Oryctolagus cuniculus: one gene and its partner. The protein of the gene in region 1 binds, or shares a complex with, the protein of each later gene. Links are inferred from orthologs where the notes say so. Each region holds a gene or a part of one and is shown in the gene's direction. Other genes may lie near its edges.

The links. The genes of interacting proteins can lie anywhere in the genome.
Region 2: TUBG2 (region 1) and NME7 share a complex: the UniProt entries of both Homo sapiens proteins name them as parts of the gamma-tubulin ring complex. The link is inferred for Oryctolagus cuniculus from reciprocal best matches to the Homo sapiens genes TUBG2 and NME7.

What each region holds. Positions count from the first base shown.
Region 1 is NC_091448.1:20,230,414-20,235,889, reverse strand, and holds the start of TUBG2 (tubulin gamma-2 chain), read left to right. Parts: upstream 1-1,981; 5' UTR 1,982-2,177; coding exon 2,178-2,226; intron 2,227-2,487; coding exon 2,488-2,600; intron 2,601-2,802; coding exon 2,803-2,970; intron 2,971-3,276; coding exon 3,277-3,345; intron 3,346-3,718; coding exon 3,719-3,798; intron 3,799-4,155; coding exon 4,156-4,282; intron 4,283-4,898; coding exon 4,899-4,985; intron 4,986-5,101; coding exon 5,102-5,251; intron 5,252-5,476. UniProt on the Homo sapiens protein: Tubulin is the major constituent of microtubules, protein filaments consisting of alpha- and beta-tubulin heterodimers. Gamma-tubulin is a key component of the gamma-tubulin ring complex (gTuRC) which mediates microtubule nucleation.
Region 2 is NC_091438.1:29,401,042-29,406,417, forward strand, and holds part of NME7 (nucleoside diphosphate kinase homolog 7), read left to right. Parts: intron 1-2,475; exon of another isoform or gene 2,476-2,498; intron 2,499-2,608; coding exon 2,609-2,716; intron 2,717-4,162; coding exon 4,163-4,329; intron 4,330-5,376. UniProt on the Homo sapiens protein: Possesses an intrinsic kinase activity. Displays 3'-5' exonuclease activity with a preference for single-stranded DNA. Does not seem to have nucleoside diphosphate kinase activity.

The sequences.
Region 1 (5,476 bases):
CGGGCGGCGCTGCGCCGGCTGCTCCGTAATTGTTCCGAGACGGCTCCGAGCATGCATATGGAAGAAATAAAGTAGCTCCCTATCTCAAATAAATTCCAGATGCCCCGGAGACCTACCGGGAACACGCGAAAACTGTTGTGCAAGCAGGGAAGATACTGCGAGTAGGGGCCGGGGTGGGGTGGGGTGGGGGCTTCCTTAAGTTCTCGAAACAAAGGGAAAGTCCGCAGTAAAACTGACAGCGTCCCTGTGGCAAGACACACTTCTCGATGTGAAGACGAGGCCCAGGTGATATCTGCAAGCTGTCCAAGGGTGGATGTGCGGAACTGACTGCAAATGTCTAAGATAAACGGGCAAGGGCTACCCACGGGCAGGTCCCAGAGGAGGCATCCCCAAAAGGAAAGCGAGTGGCCCTCGCCCGGCATCGCGACTGGGCATTCCACCCTCCAGATCCCCTTCAGCCTCTGTGGAACTGACAAAACCAGTACCTGGCAGCCCAAGAGCAGGTGCGCCTGTGGGAAACAACTCGGGCTGGGAAGAGTGCAGCCGGTCAGGAATAAGCCCCAAGCTGTGCAAGCCTCCACAGAGACTTGGCGCTTCCTGTTCGTAGGCAGGCAGCTCCTGTGCCCCTGTGGTGGGGGGTTATTGAGAACAATCTTTAAAAAACATCAAAACTGTGCATTGTATGGAGTACTATGTGACATCTCCAAACGCGTACATGGTGTGATGTTCAAACCACAGAAAACATATCTGTCTCTGCAAACATTTATCAGCTCTTGAGGGTTCTAGCTTTTTAAGAAAGCAAACAATACTTTACTGTCATCCATAGTCACCCCACAGGCCAATTCAACACCAGAATGCCTTTCTCCTGTCTAACTATAACTTAGTATCGGTTAATCACCCTTTCCCATCTGGCCTTCCACTAATTGAGAACAATCTAACCCCACTCGTTTGGAAGTAGAATAAACTGCTTTTGTTTGTCCACTGAAATACAATACAGCAGTTAAAAGGGATGAACTAAATCTACCCATATTAACACGGCTACATCACAAAAAGCCCTAATGTAAGGTGAAAAAAGCAAGCTGCTTTTCTCTGATATTATACTTTGGTATCATTTATATAAATTTCAAAACACAAAAATAGATGGTAAAAATATAAAATTATGTTGTCTATGTCACCTTTCCGGTAATTTAGAGTAAAACAGAGCCTCAGAGATACCACTTCACACCCAGGCTATGATCAAAAGCTAGCGAGGAACAAGTGTTGCTGGAGATAACACTGGAACCCCTCAGCACTGCCAGTGGGAACGTAATCTTGTGCAGCTGCTGTGGAAAAGAGTATGGCGATTCCTCAATTAGACACAGTTATCAGCAATCCTACTTCCGGGTATGCAAGCAAGGAGTTAAATAGATATCTGTACACCCGCGTCCAAAGGGGCACTATTCAAAATGGCCAAAAGGTGGAACAAGTGTCCGCCGAGGTTTGAGTGGATAAACAAATGTGGTGTATCTATGCCACGGAATATTATTCAGCTTTAATAGAGAAAGAATGGTGACTTCCAGGGTCTGCGCCGAAGACGGGAAGTTGCTGTTTAATGGGTAAGGTTTCAGTTTGGGAAAGAGAAAATGCTCTGAAAATGGAGGGTGCTGATGGGTACAGAACAATGCGAGTATACTTAATGTCTGTTAACTGTTGAAATGATGGATTTTATGCTGTGCACGAGTATGTCAAACAATTTTAGAAAAATAGAAATTTAAAGGAAGAAAGTTGCCTTGGATCCAGCCCAGGCCCCAGCGGAGCTGACAGTCCTTAGGGCATCAGGACCTACACCCGGACTACCTAGTGCACCCAGCCGTCCTCTCCCCACCTGCCCGCAGCCTAAGGTCGCGACCCTGCGAGCCCCCGCCAGTCTCAGGGCGCAGGCGCGGAGAGGTGGGCAGGCGGGGGCGTGGCCTCGCTCTGCGCCTGTGCCGAATTCCAGCTGCGCCTGCCATGGGGGAAAATGATGCCCAGGTTGGGCTCCGCGGCCCGCCGGCGGAGCAGACGCCCGCACTGCACACGCGCAGACCGAGCGCTCGCGTCGAGAGGCGAGGGGAGCGCGCGCTGCCCACGTCCTGCGCGCCCGGCTGCCGGGCGTTCGTCTCGGCCGTGACTCCCGCCGGGCCCGTGTCCGCAGAGCGATGCCCCGGGAGATCATCACCCTGCAGCTGGGCCAGTGCGGCAACCAGAGTGAGCAAGCGAGCTCCGGGCCCCGCCACTCTCTCGTTCTGCCCCTTCGGGGTCCACGGGAGTGCTTGGTTCCCACCGGGTCCCCTCTCCCTCTCGTGAACCCCCTGCCCTACTGCGCATGACCACGCAGGCCCTGGGCTGTGACGGCTCCCAGAGCCGGCGTCCTGGGCGCACGCTCCGAGAGTGGCAGCCTCAGAGCCTGACGCTGAGCTGCCCAGGCCTTTCGGCTCTCGCAGACCCGGGCGTCTCCCCTCTCCCCAGTTGGTTTCGAGTTCTGGAAACAGCTGTGCGCCGAGCATGGTATCAGCCCCGAGGGCATCGTGGAGGAGTTCGCCACCGAGGGCACGGACCGCAAGGACGTCTTTTTCTACCAGGTGCCCCCGGCGGCTGGGCCAGGACCCCGGGGGCCTGAAGGGACGGGGCAGGGGCTGGTGCTGGGGAGCCCGCTGGGCACAGGGCCCCGCGGCTGGCTCGGGGAGGGAGGCCCGGCAGGAGCCCGAGTGGGACTGGACTGGGGCCTGGGCCGGCGGTGGCGCCGGCTGACGGGGCCGCCCCTTCCCGGCCTCTCGCTGGCAGGCCGATGATGAGCACTACATCCCGCGGGCCGTGCTGCTGGACCTGGAGCCCCGGGTGATCCACTCCATCCTCAACTCTCCCTACGCCAAGCTCTACAACCCGGAGAACATCTACCTGGCTGAGCACGGAGGAGGAGCTGGCAACAACTGGGCCAGGGGATTCTCCCAGGTGTCCAAGCCGGGGACCCTTGGATAGTCCCACCCTGGGGCAAGGCAGGCTCAGGCAACCTGGGAATTTGACCAGAACAGATTTCTGATACGTAAGAGATAAAGGGATGCTTTGACAAAGGGACAGCCAGGGAGAGCTTTATGCAAATTTTGTACAAGTCACAAAGTATCATTTCTGCGTTGAGGGCAAGAGCTGAAGCTCTGCTTCAGGGGGGTCACAAAGCCCTCCCCCGCCGCCCTCCCTTGTGGAATTCTTGTTGCTGAACAGAGAACCTTGGACCTGACTCTCTGCCATGTCTCTGTCCAGGGTGAGAAGATCCACGAGGACATCTTCGACATCATAGACCGGGAAGCGGACGGAAGCGACAGTCTTGAGGTGAGCTTCTCCCCAGCTCCCGTGGGGTGCAGCGGAGAGGGGCTGCGGCGTGTTGGGGGTCAGGCGGTGGCCCGAGCAGGCCCTGGGATGGTGGCAGTCCAATTCCAGGCCCATTTGTTGAGCATCTGGTTTGGGATCTTGAGGTAGATAAGGTGCAGTCCTTGTTCTCAGGGAAGCCGTAGCCTGGAGGGTGTGAATCCCTCAGCCTGTCCCCAAGCCCTGAGTCTTCCCAAGGAGCCTCGGCCTGGACGGACACAGAGGAAGCCTTGAGGCACGAGTGTGTTGCGAGTGGGTGGGGAATGAGACAAGCTGGCAGCCTCCCCCTCCCCCTGCCCAGGTCCCTGGTCACTGCCTGTCCTTCACTCCCACACAGGGCTTCGTGCTGTGTCACTCCATTGCCGGGGGGACCGGCTCTGGCATGGGCTCCTACCTCCTGGAACGGCTGAATGACAGGTAGGCCGGTGTTTGTTAGGAGGGCATTAGCCCGGGTCCCCTTTTCCTTCTGAGCGGGAAGGCCTGCCCCTACTGCTTTTGAGTCCTAGAGACAGACCCACCCAGGTAACCTTGGCAGCAACCAACACCTGGGGGGGGGGGCACCTGGGGACAGGGGAGATCTAGAGTTTGATGCTTGCAGCTTATCCTGTTCATTCTGAAGACTGAGTCCCGCCCTTACCCTGCTACTGTACAAGAGCTTGGTGGCACACGAAAATCGTGGTGCCCATTGTCCCCACAGAAGACAGAGTGAGCAGTCCGGTAAGTCCTGTTGCTTCTCTGTGCCACCCTCCCCCTTTCCTTCTTCTTCACCCTCAGGTACCCCAAGAAGCTGGTGCAGACCTACTCAGTGTTTCCCAACCAGGACGAGATGAGCGACGTGGTGGTCCAGCCCTACAACTCGCTCCTCACGCTCAAGCGGCTGACTCAGAACGCAGACTGCGTGGTGAGCAAAAGAAGAGGGAGTCGAGGGCTGTGGGACCCCCCTGAGTCACAGCCAGCCTGCCCTGCCCTGCCCAGCACAAAAAGAACCACCAAAGCCAGACCCGTGGTCGGACTGCGAAGTAAGGTCGCAACCTCCAGGGTGCTTATGTGACTTTAGGCAGCCAGTCCCCCAGCACAGGGACTGCCTCCCCCTGCCACCACATAAGCCACTCAGCCCACTCAGTGCCTGCTCACGTTTCAGCTCCAGCTCAGGGGTCACTGTCTTAGTGAAACTTCGCTGCCTACCCAGTCAAGGTCAGCTTCCTTTGTCATATTTCAGGTTAACAGCGTCTTTTTTCTGTTCTGTATTCAATGTCAGCCTCCCTCAACTAGGCTGGAGGCCTGGCGAGGGCAAGACCGTGCCCGTTTTCACTCTGTGGTCACTCCAGACCCAGGCACAAAGTGTGGCACAGAGGACACTCACAGATTTGTTTACTGCCCTGCACTGTCCAGAGGGACTCATAATACCCCCAAAGAATGCTTTCCTTGTAAACTAGCAAAGCTACTGACTGCCTTTACAGCTTAGCAGGTGCTCAGCCAATATTTCATGTCTATGCCACCCTGTCTGTCCCCTCCAGGTGGTGCTGGACAACACAGCCCTGAACCGGATAGCCACGGACCGCCTGCACATCCAGAACCCATCCTTCTCCCAGATCAACCAGCTGGTGAGCCCACCTCTGCACTCCTTCCCACTGGAAGTCCTCCCTGAGGGAGGACTGTCGGGGGAGGGGGGAGGGGTCCTACCCAGGCCAGGCCCATGACACAGCACCCCTGTCCCCAGGTGTCCACCATCATGTCAGCCAGCACCACCACCCTGCGCTACCCCGGCTACATGAACAACGACCTCATCGGCCTCATCGCCTCGCTCATCCCCACGCCCCGGCTCCACTTCCTCATGACCGGCTACACCCCCCTCACCACGGACCAGTCAGTAAGAGCAGCCCTCAGTGTCCCGGGCCAGCTGGCCCTGACCTGGCCTCTCCTCTCCTCGCTGCCCTGGCAGCTGCCCATTGCAGCCCCCAGAGGCCTTGCACTCAGGCACTGGCAGAGCGTGGGACTGTCTCGCTGCCTCGTCTCCACCTTCCCTCTGCCCTGGGCTCCTGCAGGCCCCGTGGCGTGGGGAGCGCTGTTGGCTCCTGCACGAGGACATGTCTGT
Region 2 (5,376 bases), on another chromosome or scaffold:
AATCACCACTTAAAGGTCCAGCTTCTTAATACTATTATAATGGCAATTAAATTTCAATTTTGGAAGGGATTTTTAAATCATTGCAAAGTATAGCCTCAAATAGGACCTTTTGTGCCACATCCAGATGTATCCCTGTCACATCTCTAGATATATCTCTTGACATTAGGAATAACCCAAATTGCAAAGGTAAATCAGGATGTTAATTTCAAACAAGTGTGAATAGGAATTGTACTTGAAGTAATAAAGCTTTTTACACAGAAGAAGAAGAATTGACTTGGGAGTTCATTTCTTCAAATAACAGAAATTCTGTTATTGGCCTTTTCTTTTTTAAGATTAACTTTATTTACTTGAAAGGCACAGTTACAGAGAGAGGAGAGACAGACATACTGAGAGAGAGAGATCTTCCGTCTGCTGGTTCACTTCCGAAATGGTGGAAGCCAGGAGCCTGGAGCTTCTTCCGGGTCTCCCACAGGGAAATTGAAAAGAAAGGGGGAAATAGTACTTTAGTATGATCAAGGACTAAGCACCAGTGAACAGAAAACTTGTTTCAGACTTTGTAAGGACTGTTTTGCCCCTGCTTCTAGAGTGTAGTTAAGACTCCAGGAGTCACTACATAAAGATAAGGGTATTTACCGGAGGTCTGCACTTTGGTGAGTTTGGATTCTCGTTTCTTTCTCACGCACTCTATGAGACTAGCAGAAGTTCCACTGAAACTTCTAAGACTCCATTCTCTCCGGAATTTTTGCTTCCCAAGTCTTGGATATTTTCAAAGTCTAAACTTGAATTTAAGTTTCCCTACCCCTTGACTTCTCTGTCTCATGGTAGGCTTCCTTTGTGGGCTTCTTAGGCTATTAGAAGTCTCTTGCCCATTTTGACTTGAGATTCAACTCATGTCCTCAGGTTTACAGTAACTCAAAGAATGTTAAGCTCACCTCAGTGAGCTGGTGTGTCATCATTTATTCCATTTTATTTATTTTAGTGAAGGCAATATTGCAGTTATGCATTTGAATGAATATTTTACTGTGGATAGTGAAAAGTTTAATAAGTTACAGATTTTTCATTAAAAGGAAAGTACAATACTAGCATGCACATTGAACCCTAAACTCGAAATACTGGATTTTAAGACTCAAAATGAAAAACTACATGAAGAAAGGCATTTACAAAACTCAATAATGTTTCTCATTTTACATTTATTTTCTCTTGTCTAACAAGCCTTTTCGGATGACTGCAAGTAAAATAAAATAGTGTCTTAAAAGTCATTCACTTATATTTGTTTATGAATATAATCAAAACACAGCTAGATGTGTAATTTCTGCCACTATAGATTATGAATCAGTTACTAACATAGAAGTGAACCCAGCTGCATACTCTAACCAGAGTGTTAGATGGCAAGTCAAGAATTAGCAACAAAATTTCTGGATTCCTTTCTTCCTTATGCCTTCATTTTCTTATTAGAAAGAATTACCTTTGAGGCTGGGATGGAGATATATATATATATATATATATACACATATATATATATATATATCAATGGAAGGTCCTGTGTAATTGTCAAGGAAAAAGGACTAATATTTTGAATTTTTTTATTTATTTGAAAGATAGAAAGAGATAGAGATAATCTTCTATCTGCTGGTTCACTGCCCAAATGCCCACACAGCTGGAACTGGGCCAAGCTGACATCAGGAGCTGGGTGCTCAGTCTGAGTCTCCCACATGGGAGGGACCAAATTACTTAAGTCGTTAACTGCTGTCTACCAGGATGCACAATAGCAGGAAGCTAGAATCTCAAGTGAGCCCAGACACAAACCCATGCACACCAATACTGTGTGCTTTCCAATTGTTGTCTTAACTGCTATGCCAAATGCCCAACCCAAGGGCTAATTTTTGATTTTTCTTTTGTTATTTGGAAACCCTAAGAATTTACTTCTCAAACCTCCAACAACCTGAAACAGGAACCCGGGCCCTAGCTGCTGTGCTCTGAAACCCATTGCTGCTTTTGTGCTTAAGACCTATTTCCCAAGGCTGTTCCTAGCCAGCGACTGAAGCCTACGCACCCTCTCAACCCCTGGAAGTCAAAGCACTCCCTCGTGAACTTGTTGAACCTTCCTTAGACTGTACAGCAATCAGGCATGACTCCACTTAACCTTCCTTGCCTCTGTTCCCCGCTGAGGATTAGAGTTGCACTGTGGTCTGTCAGCTTTCCCAGTTTTCCCTGGCTCTCTCCCCATTTTCTCTTACCAGAATCTCCCTTAATGAAACTGTTGCTTATTTGGCATCTGTTCTCAAATGCTCGAAACTAACATTCTCCTACTTTTTCTACAGCTAGATAGTGTCATACGAAATTTCTAAGGAGAAAAAGATGATTGCTATAACTTTACTGACAATATTCTTGTAGTACTAGATTTTTAAGATTAGGAGAGATAAAACTTCATGAAAATCTGCAGTTTTTCAGAATTTTTTTCTCATATTAGTTTATACTGATATTCTTGCTGTCAGAAGGTAGTAGTAGATCTATTTGTTGCATATATTTTGGTAGACCTTGCTTTCCTTTTACGTGATTTATTCAGGAGTATTTATTAGTGTTAAAATAATACTGTTTTTCTTTACAGAGTTACAGTGAAAGATTCGTTTTCATTGTGGAGTGGTATGATCCAAATGCTTCACTTCTTCGGCGCTATGAGCTTTTGTTTTACCCAGGGGATGGATCTGTTGAAATGGTAAATGCACCTTTTTTTTTTTTTTTTTTTTATGTGAAAGCTAGCAAAGGGGAGGCAGGTGGGATAGAGAAAGTTTTTTTTTTTTTTTATGCAGTTACTTTTTTTAAGATTTATTTATTTATTTGAAAGTCAGAATTAGACAGAGAGAGAAGGAGAGGCAGAGAGAGAGAGGTCTTCGACCATGTACTGGTTTACTCTCAACTGGCCGCAATGGCCATAGATGGGCTGATCTGAAGCCAGGAGCCAGGAGCTTCTTCTGGGTCTCTCACGTGGGTGCAGGGGCTCAAGGACTTGGGCCATCTTCTACTGCTTTCCCAGGCCATAGCAGAGAGCTGGATTGGAAATGGAACAGCCGGGACTCGAACCAGCATCCATATAGGATGCCAGCACTGCAGGCGGCAGTTTTACATGTCACTCCACAGCGCCAGCCCCTGCAGACTATAATATATATATATATGTTTGTGTTTATTTTATTGTTTTTGTATATTCATTATAGTACCATACAGGAATATAACTGTGCCTTTATTTTTAATGTCAAAAATAAGAATTTTTCTTAGAAAACTGAACTGGGATTATTCATGTTTTGGATTAAGCAATAATCAATAAATAGTTTAAAGATTATCATCATCACAATATGTTGCCATCATTGAAATATATTATGTCTACAAAAGTAAAATTTGAAGAGGACTGAGCTAAGAGGGCCCTGTTTATTTATTGTGATCCCTCATTGGAATTGCCTTCAATGAATGGGTATATTTGATGTTGCAATTTTGTGTACTTAAGAAAGCAGCAATTTGGACATGTGGCTATCTTTTTTTTGGGATTTGGTAGGCCCTAAATTACTGAATGATTTGGCTAAAAAAAATTCTTTTTGAAAATATTTAGTTGTAGGGCCAGTGCTGTGGCGCAGTGGGTTAACGCCCTGGCCTGAAGCGCTGGCATCCTATATGGGCGCTTGTTCGAGACCTGGTTGCTCCACTTCCCATCCAGCTCTCTGCTATGGCTTGGGAAAGCAGTGGAAGATGGCCCAAGTCTTTGGGTCCCTGCACCCGCTTGGGAAACCCGGAAGAAGCTCCTGGCTCCTGGCTTTGGATCGGCGCAGCTCCGGCTGTTGCGGCCAATTGGGGAGTGAATCATCGGATGGAAAACCTCTCTTTATCTCTGCCTCTCCTCTCTGTGCAACTCTTTCAAATAAAAATAAATAAATCTTTAAAAAAATTTAGTTGTAATAAGAGGTTTTTAAATTATTACTAGATTAGATCATGGAATCCAAAATTAAAATCAGGGAATTAAAAATTAGAATGTGAAAAAAATGGGATTTGTATTTGCTGCGAAGAAGAAATGGAATGTAACTTGTCTGATGGCAGAAAGGAGAATTTCCATCTTGTAATAAGATTAGCATTCCTATTGATAACTATTTTTTAATTATATTGCTGTTGGTTCTAGCATGATGTGAAGAATCATCGCACCTTTTTGAAGCGGACCAAATATGATGACCTGCGCTTGGAAGATTTATTTATTGGCAACAAAGTGAATGTCTTTTCTCGACAATTGGTGTTAATTGATTATGGAGATCAATATACAGCACGCCAACTGGGCAGTAGGAAAGAAAAGTAAGAAAACAATTTCGTAATTTGTTTTTCACTATTAAAACATTATGTGTAAGCCATGGTACCAATTTCTAATTTCCTGTTGCTGTCTTGTGTTTTCACAGTACAGAGATTTTTTTCAGTAATCTACTTCAATGTTGATGACATTTTTAGAAATTTTATTAAGTAAATTCTGTGATTTGTTCATCAGTGAGAATAACAAAGTGATATCCTCAGTCTTAGGCAGTGACTATTTCCTGGGGAGAAAAGTACAAAATTCTCATATGTTCCATCATTCATTCTTAGTAAAATAAATGTCATTTGGGAACTAAGAATATCTGAATATAAAAAAATCTTGGTGCTTAAGGTAAACTTGACTTATGGGGAAAAAAGTAGTGAGTATCAAAAGCTCAATAGAAACTCAAAAGAAATAAAAGATACTTCTTATGCAAAGCTTTGTGGAAGGTTTGACCTGCATCATAAAAAATGGATTGAATTGGCCGGCACCGCGGCTCAATAGGCTAATCCTCCACCTGCGGCACCGGCACACCAGGTTCTAGTCCCATTCGGGGCGCCGGATTCTATCCCGGTTGCTCTTCTTCCAGTCCAGCTCTCTGCTGTGGCCCAGGAATGCAATGGAGGATGGCCCAAGTGCTTGGGCCCTGCACCCGCATGGGAGACCAGGAGAAGCACCTGGCTCCTGCCTTCGGATCAGCGCAGTGTGCTGGCTGCAGCGCGCCGGCCGCAGTGGCCATTGAGGGGTGAACCAACAGAAAAAGGAAGACCTTTCTCTCTGTCTCTCTCTCTCACTGTCCACTCTGCCTATCAATCAATCAATCAATAAATAAATAAAACCTTTAAAAAAATGGATTGAATTTTTACCCAGTTAGATGAAGTAAGGTCAGAGGAATGAGTATAACCAATGGTACAGAAGCGAGAAATTCTATGTCTTATACTAGGCAGAACCTAATTATTCTGCTTGAATAACTCAGTGATTAAAAATATTTTTGGGGAGCTGGTGCTGTGGGATGATAGGTTTAAGTTTCTGCCTGCAGCACTGGCATCCTGCAT